Mus musculus: one gene and its partner. The protein of the gene in region 2 interacts with the protein of the main gene of each other region in a pairwise test. Links are inferred from orthologs where the notes say so. Each region holds a gene or a part of one and is shown on either strand. Other genes may lie near its edges.

What was found. The genes of interacting proteins can lie anywhere in the genome.
Region 1: the proteins of Prkci (region 2) and Pard6b interact in binary tests that used the Homo sapiens proteins (3 or more experiments, as listed by UniProt). The link is inferred for Mus musculus from reciprocal best matches to the Homo sapiens genes PRKCI and PARD6B.

Annotation. Positions count from the first base shown.
Region 1 is NC_000068.7:168,078,257-168,086,144, forward strand, and holds the start of Pard6b (partitioning defective 6 homolog beta), read left to right. Parts: upstream 1-2,747; 5' UTR 2,748-3,037; coding exon 3,038-3,103; intron 3,104-7,888. UniProt on the Homo sapiens protein: Adapter protein involved in asymmetrical cell division and cell polarization processes. Probably involved in formation of epithelial tight junctions.
Region 2 is NC_000069.6:31,039,117-31,046,266, forward strand, and holds part of Prkci (protein kinase C iota type), read left to right. Parts: intron 1-251; coding exon 252-387; intron 388-2,325; coding exon 2,326-2,413; intron 2,414-4,574; coding exon 4,575-4,700; intron 4,701-5,765; coding exon 5,766-5,845; intron 5,846-7,150.

The sequences.
Region 1 (7,888 bases), on a different chromosome or scaffold from region 2:
CACTAATTCTCAGAGCTTCTCGGGGGGGTGGGGGGGTGGGGGGGGCTTGTCAGTCCGGATCAGCTCTGGTTTGAGGATTTGGGGGCAGGGAGAGGAGATGGGGAGAACGGAGGTTACAAGTCAGTCTCTAAACCAAAGAGGCAGGAGCCAAGAGCTAATCCACACTGTTTCTCTGGTCTTCAGGCTTCTTAAGCCAAGCTGACAACAAGGCTCCCCTCCCCCGCAGCACCTTTATCAAAGGCAAACTATTTTCTACATTCCCTTCTTACACAGCCCTGGTTTGCAGCAGATCTGCCGGAGAGATCCAGGAAGCTCTGGCCTGGCCCTCCCTCCCTTCGAGAAAGGAAAGTTCAGGTAGTGAGGGATGCCACACCCGGGGGGAGGGGAGGGCGGATGTGACGGCAGCTTCAGGAATGCAGGGCCCACGCAGGTGCATTGGCACCCATGAGCTTCCTCCTCAAAGCAGCTGATAAAGGAGTCTCGATAGCAGTAATAGCAGCCACCCAACCATCATCCACACAGACTTGGGGCCACAGGTCCACAGTTCTCAAGGTGTGACCCGCTCAGGGCAGAGGCAGGAGAAAGGTGAGATTGGAGGTCCTGTGCTTTCTGGCACATCGGTTTTCAGAGTGGCCCACGGGTCCACTGGCACCTGGAAACCTCGCTAGGGGAATTTCCAAAGTCATATTGTTCTCATGAAGGCGTCGCATCTCACCTTCCTTGTCTCAGAAGCAGATGATGGAGTTTTCCGCAAAAGACAGGACAAATGATGACATCATCTTTACCTGCTTGGAATATGTATTGTGCATTGTTTTAAACGCGTTTCTGGTTTAGTTCCAATACAATAAACACTCATAGGCATTCACAAACTTGGAGGTTCCCTGTAATGTTTAGTTTCAGGGGTCCTGGGACCCAAAGAGCTGTAACTGCTGGGCTGATGCTGTTGACCAGGGTACTGGGCCTGTGGCTGCCCCTCAAAACCACAAATCTTCTTTCCACCACACAGGTATGGGTTGGGAAGGCAGTGTGAGATTCAGCTTGAGGGACAGTCTCTCTCTCTCTCTCCAGGACTTCCACCCCAGAATGGCCAGGGAAACCTTAAAATCGCCTACCAACAGCTGGTGAAGAGATTCGTTCAAGGGGAAAGGGGCTTCTTATCTTTGAAGCTACAGGGTGTAGCCTGGAGAAGCCACAGATTCGGCTCCTCTTGTCCCCAAATACATACATGAGCGCATGACAAGAGCCTGGCTCTCCCAGGGTGAACAAACAACTGAGCAAAGCCAGGGTATCCCCGCCACTGGGTAGCTTTCATTGTACATAGAGTAACGCTGTTTCAAGTGCACGTGCACGAAGGAAAATAGAAAAGCTGAACCCCATCACAGCGGAAAGATGTTAGATTCTGTGGTCCAAGGGGAGAGTGGGCAGGAGTGAAGGCCCCTGATCAGCTAGCTCTTCAGCCCTCTGTGGGGTAGGAGGGTCGTCGAGGGAGACTTTCACTTTTCTCCTAGCACCAGCAAGACCAATGGGTAAACAAAACAGAGAGAGAGGCAGCAGCCTCAGTGTGGGGCGCTCAGAGATTAGGAATTGGTGTTGTTACCCCAGGACACAGCTCGGTCACTGGGGGAACAGAACACAGCCCAGAGGCTGGCGTTGGTGCAAACAACAAACGGGCAAGAAATTGCTCCACAGAGAGACGACTTCAGCCTCAGAGGGCGGATGGTGAGGCCCGCAGGGAGCCAGGGCCTGTGGGGACCATCGCAGGCCTCAGCTCCCTGGTCCTCTCCTGATACCCAGGGCACCCTCGGGACAGGGAAGATCTAGAGCAGTGGTTCTCAACCTTCCTAATGCTGTGACCTCGCATTCTGATGACCTCCAGCCATAAAATGATTTTCCTAGCTACTTAACTGTAATTTTGCTACTGTTATGAATCGCAATGTAAATATCTGTGTTTTAGGTCTCAGGTGACCCCGGAGGAAGAGTCGTCCTGGGGTCAAGAGCCCACAGGTTGAGAAGCGCTGATTGAGACGAAAGTGCAGTTTCCAGGCCTAGACATCCCCCCACCCCCGACCCCCAAGCTTCTCCCTCTAATGACTGCTGCAGAGGCGGGAAAACTTGAAACTCTTTCCACAATAGTTTCAGGGGGCCGCCAAGAAGCCGCAGCATGGGGGGGGGCTCAGGCCGAAGAGGGGCCCCAGATGCCCAGTCACCCCACATCATCACGGCAAGGGAACGGCTGTACACACATTCCAAGCAGGTGACTAGGGCGCGTTAAAGATACGGGCGCTCCCGACCCGACCCAGCCGGCGAAAACGCTCGCGCGCATGCGCAAAATACACACCCTCCTGAACGGCAGTCCAGGTGCGCTCGCGCTTCCGGCCGGCCTTCCCCATCGCCTTCTCGGGGCGGAAACTCTACAGCCGGCGCATGCGTCCTACTGCTCCCCCGGCTCAATCCAGAGAGGCCCCAGAGCTTCAGGTGATCCCGCCCCTCCCTCGCAAGGCAGGACCAATCGCGAGGGCTGTGGGCGGGGCTTCCCAACCACGAGGCCCGCCCACGGGCCGCGCGAGCCCCGCAGGCTGCGTGCCGATTGGCTGACGCCGCGGGCGCAGGTGCGCGCTTCCCATTGGGTGTGGGCGGAGCGCAAGCCGCGCGCCGAAGCTGCAGGTGAGCGCGCGCACGTGCCGCGGCCGCGGCCCAGCTCGGTGCACGAGCGCGCGGGCGCGCGTCCGCGGGGGAGGCAGCGGATAAGGGAGGCTGCGGCGGCTGTAGGGCTGTGCTCCGCCCTCTCCTCACCGCCGCGGCCGCCGCCGCCCCCGAGCCTCGCTGGGAGGGACCGGTGTCCCCGCCTGCTGCACTGGCAGTCCGACCCTCAGGCCGCCGCGGAGCAGCCGGCACTGCGCTGCGGGGAGGACCTCAGCAGGTGCCGTGACGAGGCGCCGTGCGGCGCTTCGAGTCCCGAGCCCGCGCTCCGCGGCCCCGCCGCCCGCGCTCCCGAGGGCCGGCCCCCGACGAGGCCGCCGGCGGCCGGGCACTCAGCATGAACCGCGGCCACCGGCACGGGGCGAGCAGCGGCTGCCTGGGCACCATGGAGGTGAAGAGCAAGGTGCGCGGCCGGGCGGGGCAACGGGGGCGAGGGCCGGTGGGATGGTCGACGCGGGGCTGCCCCGTGAGGACGCAGAGTGGCGGGATGGTGGACCTCGGCTGCCCCTGTGGGAACGCGGGCGGAGGGCGAGCTGCTGGCCGAAGCACGTAGGAGAGAAACTTGGTGGAGCGCGGCGATGTGAGGCGTTTGCGTCTGCTCCGCAGCACAGCCCCTGTTTTCTATCCTTCATATTCCCGCCTTGCTTTTAGGGTGGGATGAGGATCGCTCCAGTGCAAGGTGATGGGATAACTTTGGGGGATCCCTTCACCCCGGGCACGAGCCAGAGGCTTTCGGAACACCTTGTTGTCTTCTCGTATAACCTTTTATTGGGGCTCGGGGGTACATCGAGTGGAGGAGAGCTCTTTTTCCAGCCCTAACTTTGGTATGCGTCTAATCTATGAAATTAGCGCTATCGCCTTACTCTGGTGCTGCGCTTGACAATTTGAGACGCTGCTGTTTTCATTCCGACTCTTCATTCGGAATGCTTTCCCCCTTGGCGGATCTGCCAGTCTTCTGTTAGTGACTTCAGTGTCGGTGGGATTCCTCAATCCCAAGGCCGGGTGAGCAGAGTAGCCCGTGGGGATTAGCTGGAGAATGCCGTCTTCCAAAAGGGGCTTTTCAGATGGAATCTGAAGGTGATCCGTAGCCACCGGAACATGTCGCCAAGCTTCTCCTGACTTTGAACGGCCAGGAGGGGCAGGATTATGTAGCCTGGTTCTCGGAGAGTTCTGAAATGATAAGAAACCCTGCTTTTAAAGGGTGTGACTTCCCCCAAACTCGGCTGTAGGACCAGGTCTTGCCGATGGCTTTTTACTGAGCAACTTGTAAAACGGTGGTAGAGGGCATTGCTGACCGTGAGAATTTAGAGCAAAATTGTGGCTAGACACACAGAAGGAGCGGTGTATCGAACACCCACTGCAAAAATAAGAAGCGTGGTGGTTAAGGGACCCCTGGGGGAATGTCGGTCCGGGAAGTGGGGTGAGTGAGGAAAGCTACCTGGAGCCTTTGTGGTTCCTGGGCTTGAGAGCAAAGTTCTGTAACTAAGAATCACAGATCTACATTTGCTTTTAATTTGGGGGGATTTTTGTTTGTTTGTTTTCTTTTTGTTTTTTTGCTTTGTTGTTTTGTTTGTAATCTCCTCTAACTATTGAGACTAGAACTAGAGAGTGCCAGACACAGTCTTAATGGAGGAGTGGGAGGAATTTATATATCAGATAGGAACTAGATTGAAACACAGGTCTGTGTAATAATAACAGGACTGTTGGTGTTAGAGAGATGGCACTGCATTTATGAATGTACGCTGCTCTTGCAGGACACCCAAGCTCAGTTCGCCGCACCCCTGCCGAGCAACACACACCTGTAACTTTCTTTAAATTTACTATTTTACATGTATAAATGCCTGCCTGTATGTCTGTGTACCACCTGAATGCCTGGTGCTCTAGGAAGCCAGAATCCCAGAGGGAGTCAAGTCGGATCCCCTGGACCTGAAGTTAAAATAGTGAGCTACCTTGTGGGCGCTGACCCAAACCCAGAGCCTCTGAGTGAGCTGTGTTGCATTTAACCACCGAGCCTTCTCTCCAGTTCCAGAACATCTGGTGCTCTGGCTTCCCATGGCACCGACACATGGCATACATAGACGGAGCTGCCGGCATACACATAATTGTTTTAGAGTAAAACTGTATGATAGTTTAAGGAACACACCCTTCCTGGCTGGGTTCTGCACAACAGCAAATAAAGTGACTTGTTAGTATAGGGAGATGACTGACTCCAGAAATGTCTGTCTTTTTCTCTAACCATTTGTAGCTGTCAACACACAAGCTTTCTCCTGGCATCTCTTTGTAGTTTGGCTTGTGGGACTTGAGGTGAGGAAAGAAAACCACTTGTGATGCTGCATAATACCAACACTCAGTTTTATGGTCCTGATCTCGGTAGTGAGCCTTTACATGTTTTTTTAATCATTAAAAAAATGAGTAGAGATTCTAGGTGTGCCAATAAGTTAGATAGGAGTGGGTCTCTGGTGGAAGGAAACCAAGCTCTTGTGGACTGGAATTTCAAGCTTTTTGTTTTCCTTTTTCATCTACTGATTTTTGAATATTTTACATAGTTCTGTCCAAGGTGTGTGGTTTCTATTTCAGCTGCCATACCATACTTCTAGTGTGAGCCCTCCTCTAAACAGAAGCAGGGCAGTCAGAAGATACACTCGGGAAATGCTGCCATGCTGTGTGTCTGTTAACAGACAGACAGACAGCATAGGCCAGAGTTTGTTCACCCTGCTTTGTGGGGTTTTGAGATGGCTCCCCACCCCCACCCTTTCCCCTCCTTCCATGTAGCCCTGACTGTCCTAGAGAACATTTATGTGTGTGCATGAATGCAGGTGCCAACAGAGTCCAGAAGAGGGCGTCAGCTCAATTGACTGAAATTACAGGTGCTTGTGAGCTACCAGACATGGGTGGAAACTGAACTTGGGTCCTCTGGAAGAGCACTGCATGTTCTTTTGTTGTAGTAGTTGTAGTTGTTGTTGTTTTAAAGTTTTATTTATTATTTATATGAGTACATTGTAGCTGTCTTCAGACACACCAGAAGAGGGCATCAGATTCCATTACAGATGGTTGTGAGCCACCATGTGGTTTCTGGGAATTGAACTCAGGACCTCTGGAAGAGCAGTCAGTACTCTTAACCACTGAGCCATCTCTCCAGCCCCCGTTGTTGTTGTTTTTTAAGACAGGGTCTCTACATAGCCCTGGCTGTTCTAAAACTCATTATGTAGACCAGGCTGGTCTTGAACTCAGAGATCCGGCTGCCTCTGTTGGGAGTAAAGTCATGTGTTGCTAGTCCTACCTTAGCTCAGGTTTGTAAAAAAAATAATTTCAGTTTATGCTATGTGAATAGTAAAAACTCCCTTAAATTTCCACTATGTTCTGATCATTTACTTGGCATGATGGGCGTGTGGGGATTCGCAGGTTCCGCAGTGGGAGTGGAGAGGTCAGAGGACAGCCCTAGGAAGTTGCTTCTCACCACCACGTGGGTCTTGGGGATTGGATTCAGGCTCTGAGGCTTGGCAGCAAGCACTTACCTACTGAACCATCTGCTGGTCCAGGGTTAGTTCTGTAATATCACAGTTAGGCGATCCTAACCAGAACTGGAGAGTGTGTAGGTCATAGGTAGGCTCTCCTTCATAGCAACAGTAGCGTCAGCCAGGGACGGCACACACCTTTAACCCCAGAATGTAGACGCAGAGGCAGGAGGATTTCTGAGTTCCAGGTCTGCCAGGACTACATAGAGAAACCCTGTCTATCTTGAAAAGAGAAAGAAAGAAAGAAACAATAGTGTCCGCTTTATCGTCTTTGCTCTGGGAAGGGAGCCGTGGTACAGATAGGAGGAATAATGGAGAGTGTAAATAAGGTTCTAGTTAGAGGTGTGATGCCAGCAGCTGGGTGATTTCTTTGGTAACTGATTTATCTTCCTGATTGTTTCTCCAGAAAGTTCTCTGTAATCATTTTGATGTCCTTAGGTAACCTTGGTCTCAAGGGCAGGGGCTACTACAGTGGAGCTTGACCGCCATACTCGGGCCTGGTTGCATCTCCACCACAGCCAAGACACTGGCCCCACAGCCTCGAAACGGTCTGGGGACACACCACTTCCTAATTGCTACTCATGGGCAAACACAATATCAACTGTACTGCGCGCACACACACACACACACACACACACACACCGTGATCCCAGCTGTCAGTGCAAGCTCAAGGGCAGCTAAGGCGACACAGGGAGAGCCTACAAACAAACCAGAAGTAGGGATGGAAGGTGCCTCAGTGGTTCCGAGCACAGACTGCTCTTCCGTAGGACCAAGGTCCTTTCCCCTTCCCTCCAAAACCCAAGTTCTAGAATATGCCAACAGATGCTAGGAAACAAGTCCTTGTACATCTGGATTCCAAGCCAGAAAAATCACATGGTGGATAATTGTTGATTGGGTTCGTTTGATCTCTATCTAATTTTCCCTCATGTCTTAAAAAGTCCTTATATTCATACTGTGCTGCAAAAAGTGACCCAGTCCCGCCTCACCTTTTGCCAGCACTGGGGGTTGGGCACAATCTACTGTTAATATCTAAATATTTAAGCCAGAGAAGAAAGTATTAAAGAATTGCATGCATGCAGAAGCTTTAGGGAAACTTAACAGGTTAAATAAGTCATTCGGTGTCTTCCCATTCAGACTCCAGAGGAGGGGGTGATAGCCTGGCGTGAGTCAGCCTGCACTGTGTGGACTGTGGCTGTGCGGGGAGAACGTCCAGCCTGCAGAAAATGGAGGAGAAACTGCCTCTGATAACATCGCCTAACTGACTGATATGAAGGGTGTTCCCTGGGTTTTAGTTACTCTGAAGTATGTAGGTGTGACTAACTTTTTGAGAACTTTAAATATGAGTCACCTGATTTTCCTGACAAATGTTAGTGTTTATGTCTCAGGTACATGTTTTGGAAACTTCGAATTTGTTAAGAGTTAGAAGTGGCCAGTGAAATTGTTCTAATGTCAAATGGTATAGCAGAAGAGTGCTTGCAAGAGGAGGGCCAGCCATAGGTAGAGAGAAGGCTTGATGGCTGGGTGCCTGGGGTTGCTGTTGGTTGTGAATGCCGGTTGGGAGAAGAGCCTTTCTCTGCCTGGCACCTGCTGTTCTCTGGAACATTCGTGTCTCCTGGCTATCCTTGGAATTTATACAGAAAACGGGTCTGGCAGTCAAACGTGTTTGGCGAACA
Region 2 (7,150 bases):
TAAGTGTTTTGTTTGAGTTGGATTTTTTTGCTCAGGGCTGCCTGACCTTTTATGTCTGCTAGTTGAAAACAGTACATAAACAAGTTATCTTGTTACAGTTTATTCTTTGTAAGTCATGAGGTAGTTAAGTTACATAATATATTATATCTACCACATATTATTATAATCTGTTGTTTGTGTTTATTATGTGTTTAGGGTTTTACAGATGGTTATTATTCATAGCAAGGCCATATTTTTTTTTTCAATTTAAGGTTTTACTCTGCAGAAATCAGTCTAGCACTGAATTATCTTCATGAGCGAGGGATAATTTATAGAGATTTGAAGTTGGACAATGTACTGCTAGACTCTGAAGGACACATTAAACTCACTGACTACGGCATGTGTAAGGTGAGAGACCCCCTGGATGGCTTGTAACCTGTCAGCTAAGTAACTTCACACTTAGATGGGAAGAGATCACTGCCTTGTTGAGGATGTCTGAGAGTTCTGGTCTGAAGACAGGTGTACTCTCTGGCCATTTGGCCACGTGGAGAACTCCATGTCTTCTGTGATGTGTGTTATAAATGGGCCACTTTTTAAAAATTGGTTGTAGCTTTTTTGTTATACTTTTGAAGAAAATTTGGAAATAACATTACCTACAGTCCTGTTACGTTAACACAGTATTTGCATGCCACCTTCCAAGCTTTTACCATTTATCAGACCTGAACCTACTTTCACATTTTTCCTAGGCATCTTTTATATTTAACTTTTAAATCTCTGACATACAATGTGACATTCAATCAAGTAAGCATTTTACTTTGTCTCAGAATATGTCTACTAATCTCGCTATTTTACTCCTTTGGCAACAGTGTTTTACTTAGAGGTTTGATCTTTTCCCACAAAATGTCTAGAGAACTATTCTACTTATTAACCCTGTCCTAACAAAACATGTGCGAGTGTGTGAGTGTGCGCACTGCATCCCCATCCATCAGGAGGAGGTACCGTAAACACACACATGGTAATGAGGATTTAATGTCACCCTGCACACCTTATATCAGGTAGTAAAGTCATGCAGTGTATACAACTCAAGACCGTTTTCCTGTCATGCACCTTAAGTCATTCTCTTTGTAACTAGGGAAGAGGGTTAAGTCACTGGACCCCCTGCATGCCTCATTTGTATTCACGATGCCTTTTTGCTCTGTCATGGTTTTCCATAGTGTTCTTCTCTCTGGTTTTAAAACTCATCACAATAATAATGGATTCTTACAAGTTCCAAGGGCAAATGAAAAGCATGCAGAGTATTAATCTGCAAGTTAGAACAGTGTTTTGGATTTTTTTAGTCACAATCTGAATGTTAGTTAAAATTACAGGTAGCTTGAGGAGGCAGAGGCATGGTGACACACCTCTATAGGGTGAAGCAGGGTGATCATGAGCTCAAGGCCAGCGTGGACTGGACAGCAAGAGTTTGCCCACCGAGCCATCTTCCCAGCCTGGGAGGAACCTTTCTTTCATGACTTCTGTCCTTCCCTTGTCCCCCAAACATGTATGTCCATATTTATACTGTGATGTGAGTATATGGGACACATTTGGTGGTTGGCTTGGTTTTATTTTGTCTTTGTTTTGGTAGGTGTTTCTGTTTGGCTTGGTTTTATTCCTTAGAAACAAAATATTGGTGTGTAGCTGAGATTGACCCTGAATTAACAATCCTCCTGTTTCAGCCTTCCAAGTGCTGGGATTACACGTGGACCACCATACTTTTTTAAGTCGTCTAAAAATCACTGTTTATTAGTTATTGGTGTATAGGGTATGTTTTCTGAATGTTGAAACCTCATAATCAAAGACCATGAAATTTTCCTACTGTGTTCATTTTTATTCTTTTTTAGAAAATGTTAGTAGGTATACAGAAACTTATATTTGTTACAGCTCTTGATGGGTGTTCCATTTATTGTTGGGTTTTCTCTACTTAGTTTATTTGTGCATTGTTCACCTTCCTACAGCTATTAAAATATCAAAGCAGAAGACACAGTCGGTAGGAAAGAAAACATCACAATGTCAACAGTCATGAAGTAGTCACTGTAGTCACATGATCTCTGTTTTCATAGTAAATTTTAATAAATGTTATTTTAAAAGCAGTTTTATGTTAACTGAATTGACTTTAGCAACGTCTAAAGTGAATACGTTTTCTTTTACTCTGTTTAGTAGTGATCACTGTTCCTAGTGACGCTGTTCAGGTTTAACATATTGCATATACATGCTGAGTTTAGACACATGAAATGGAAGAGGTGAATGTAAAATGGTGTTGTCTCTTATCTTTTCCCCGTCTTCTCCTTTCCTTTTTCCCCATGAAAGGAAGGATTGCGGCCTGGAGACACAACCAGCACTTTCTGCGGCACTCCCAATTACATTGCTCCAGAGATCTTAAGAGGAGAAGATTATGGTAATAAATTAATAGGTGGTATTTTAGGTGTTACTATAATTGGTACCAACTACAACATAAATAGTATAGCATTTTAATATTCACTAATATATAAGCCTTCCTTAGTTCAGTTAACCTACGTGGAGACCCTCAGATTCTGAAACTGGACCCATCCATAAAAGGTTTGACATTTGGGAGAATTACATTTAAATAGTATTTTACTAGTGACAAGAACTAAACAGTGGCAAGAACTTGGTAAGCAGTTCACTCTAAATTCCCTCACAAGCCTTCTGAGGTACATGTTGACTTATTTGACAAAGAAGGGAAGCAATGTACAGAAAAGCTTAAATTATATGCCTGGGTCACAAAAGCCAAGGCAGTGCCCAGGTATGCAGGTACGTATTAACTCATCGGCTATGTGAATCCAGGGTCACGAACTTCAGAAGATTGTTCAGATTCAGGGGATATTTCCCTTAGTGTTCTAAAAGTTCCTAAAGGCTGGGGGCCTGATAGGTACCAGGAAATACCTACCTTCCTTCCTTCCTTCCTTCCTTCCTTCTCTTTACAGAGTTAGGGTGTCTCTACATAACCCTGTCTGCCCTGGAACTTGCTCTGTAAACAAGGTTGGCCTCTAACTCAGTTCCTCCTGCCTCTGCCTCCTTAGTGCTGGGATTTAAAGTATGGATCTTTGGCGGCCATTACTTTTCTTCACATTTATTTTTATTAGTTCTTTTGAGACTTTCCTACAATATATTTTGATCACATCTACCCTTTCCTGTTCCTCCTGTATGCCCCCACTGCCAACTTCCCTAATCCAGCTTTGTCTCCTCCTCCTTTTTACCCAGCTAGTCCATGCTGCCCTTGTGTTCTTGGATCTGTGGACTTCCACGGGAGCATGGTCAACTTGCAGGGAACAACTCTTTTAGATAAAAGTTCCTCTCCTGTAGCTATCACTTGCCATAGCCCCGCCTGTCCACCTCGCTTACCATGCTGGGATTTGGTCTGACTTGAATTTACACAGGGCTTGTGCATGCTATCCCAGTTTTTGTGAGCTTGTGTGTACAGCTGCCCTACTATGTCTGGAGACATGTTTTCTTATGTTCACCCTCCACCTCTGGTTGTTACAGTCTTCCCCCTTTCTACAATGTCTCCGTATGCTTGGGAGAAGGAACATATATGTTGGGAGAAATATTAAAAAATGAACCGGCATGTTCCCATTCTTGTGCCTCTGCCTCAGCGGCCTGACCAGCAAAAATATCTCGTGGAGACTCTCTGACCTGGAGTTCCCAAAACATCTTCACCCAGCTCGCTAAGTTCCCACTGGCGGATATCTACCATGACAGCCCTAAGCTTCAATCCTCCAAGGCCTGTGTAGTACACCTCAGGCAAACCTGTGCTTTGCCACCAGAAGAGCCGATGCTTGAAGGAAAACGCAACACAAACTTAGTTCAGAAACAATTGCTGGCACAACAACAAAAATCCTAACTTGTAAGCCTTATTAAATCTAAATCCTCCAGTGGCAAAATCCTGACAGATCTGCCATTGAATCTGGGAGACACTTGTAATTACATCTTGTCCTCATGGTATCCCTGTCCAAAAAGACCTAACTCTTTCCTGCTTCCTCTTCTTCCTCCATCCAACTCGGAAGTCCCTCCTACTCGCCCAGTGATTGGCTCCTTTAATCATTAGGGGGTTGGTTCACAAGAAGTCACCTGAGTATGACTCACTCCTCCCAGGAGAGTGGAATTAGCATCAACATACAAACAGCACCAGGCTCATCCACACACATACAGATAGTCATTTTAGGGTTGCTTGGACCAAGTATCTCTGTAGTTTTTAGTGCCTACCATATTATTTATACTCTAATTAGACTTTGCTTTTCCATTATGTTTACATTTCCATCTCATGATAAAATAAAATTTCTGGGAGGCTGGAGAGATGGCTCAGTGGTTAAGAGCACTGACTGCTCTTCCAGAGGTCCTGAGTTCAGTTCCCAGCAACCACTCACAACCATCTCTAATGGGATCTGATGCTCTCTTCTGGTGTGTCTGAAGACAGCTACAATATACTCAAACACATAAAATAAATAAATAAAATCTTTAAAAAAATAAAAAATAAATTTCTGACTGCTGGATGTTCACACATGCAGAGAAGGTTTATTACTTTAAACTTCTCTCTAAAGGCTTCAGCGTTGACTGGTGGGCTCTTGGAGTGCTTATGTTTGAGATGATGGCGGGAAGGTCTCCGTTTGATATCGTTGGGAGCTCTGACAATCCTGACCAAAACACAGAGGATTATCTATTCCAAGGTAATTTGCAATACTTCGGGGAAATTCTGTGAATAACCTAGAGCAAAGTAAGGGCTCTCAAATTAGTATTCTCAGTTAAAAACAAGGAGAGTAATTTGGACACACACCTGACTTCATGATAGTTTGGAGAATTTTTAGATAGTCCCTTCCCACTTCTCTAGCCTGTAGCTTCGTCTGTAATTTCCTTCCCACACTCAATTCATAACAAAGCATTTAAATGTGTCGTCATACATGCTAGAACAGGGAACTCCTGGGGAGATGGAGGCATCTGTTAGAGACTAATCTCTGCACATGAGCCCCAGACTTAGTGCCCGGGTTCAAGAAAAGTGGAGTGTGATTGTGATCCAAGAGATCACAGAGCTTTGCTAAGGCCTCCTCAGGGAGGGAGTGTCATGGTGAGGAGTGCTGACAGTCAACAGAGCAGAGGGAGGAGGCCAAGCACAGGACCTCTACCAGAAAGTGTGCAGCAGCCACAGAATTCTGCACCTAATAGTTAAGACCCTCACAGGACATGAGGAAGTGTTCCATAGAATAAGGAACCAGAGTGCCTGCCATTAAGACTATAGAAAGAGAATGCAAAGTGCTAATGAGCTACTGTTTCCTGCCTGTGCCCCTGACAGAGATTTGAGATTGAGAGTAACTGCCTGGTACTGATGAAGGTTCGGAGCAGTGGGAGGTCTTCGGGACTGCTCGTGGGGGTTGAAGTTGACAGGAGCTTTGCAGAATAATTTCACATTTCCCAGTACAGTTCTGTGTTACATATATATGCAAACACTTTACAGTACTAACTTTTGTACCTCAGAAGAGCCCCGTGAAGCAGGGATTGTTTTTATTGAGGCACACTAAGTTGGTAAAAATAAACCAGGCTTGTAAATAATAAATGCAGTACTAAGGCAAGGGGCCAGCTCTGAGAAGGAGAGCCAAAGGCAATGCATGAAGTGTTGCACTTATGCAGATGATGTATATTCTGCTAGGATGCCTTAAATAGCTTGGGATTTAAAGAAAAAACTTAGATTCAAGCCACATAAACACTAAAAATGATACTGTGATTCTTATCTTTTTAAGTCATTTTGGAAAAGCAGATCCGCATCCCGCGTTCTCTGTCTGTAAAAGCAGCAAGTGTACTGAAGAGTTTTCTCAACAAGGTAGGGATGATGTGGACACTCTTCTGTGCTTTCTTCCCTGAGGAAGCAGAGCGCCTTGTCGGCGGAGGCTCAGGCGCTGGGATGTTTCAGAGCAGGGATATGTAACTTTCCAGTTAGAACTGGAATTTTGTTTCATAACCAGACACAGGGTCAAATCCTGACCTGATTATCCTTGTCATGTGGCCAATATCATTGATTTACCTCCAGCTTGACCTTTAAATATAAATGATACACACATATGCTCTCCTCAGTGAAGGAAAATGGAGTCTGTAATTTGTTATAACTGCATTTTTAGCTGTGTTTCTGTATCTTTAGCCATAAAACCGATTTCTCACCAAGTGGCCAAGAATGTTCTCTATCCATTTCATAATAACTCTGTATTTAGATAAAATTCAGAAGAAATGGAATGAGATCCTAAAATGTAAGCATCATTCAGTTGCTTGTGGAAATTGGTAAGCCAGAAGCATTTAGGTTCTAAGATTGTGAATTTGGGATTCATAAAATTTATTCCAAATAAATGAAGGTATAAAATGGGTTACCTCTGTGGGCACATAAGGATGAAATTAATAAAATTGGAAAATTGCACCTAGTGAAGATGGCTATGTTTTTATCATGTGTATGTGTGTGTGGGTGTTGTGCCGGTGTGTAATCTGTAGCACATGCGTCACTGGTGCCCAGGAAGGGTAGAAGAGGGCACTGGATCTCCCGCACCTGGAGGTAGACATGGTTGTAAGCAGCTGTGGGTGTTAGGAATCCAACCTGAATCCTCAGGAAGGAGCCATCTCTCTGGCCCCTGCTACAATGTCTTAAATATCTTGGAATTTAAAGAAAAAACTGAAAGCTTTAAGCCACATAAAAGCTAAAAATGATACTGATTCTTATCGTTTTCATCGTTTTGGAAAAGCAGATTTGCAGATATTTACACGAGGGAGGGTTTAAACTGGGACGCTTCTGCACTATGAAAAGTGAAGTTGAGAGATGCTAATGTATAAAATAAAACGCCTTTCACCCAGAAGAAAACATTGTAATCCATAGAGCAAAAGCTAAGTTCCAGCCTCTGCCTCGGTCCAGTGATCAGATAATTCTGTGTCATTGTCTTAGACAAATTAGGATTTGTTGCTGCAGAGGCTTTAACGATGAGCTAAACATAAGTGTGCTGTAACGTCCAGAGGTTGCTGTAATTATTAAATTATTATGCTGCCCTTGTTTTTCCACATTCTTTAGCAAAGAGTGATGAAGTACTCTACCATTTTAAAACAGGGTCTTATGTAGCCTAGGCTTGCATTCTAAGATTCTAAGATTCTA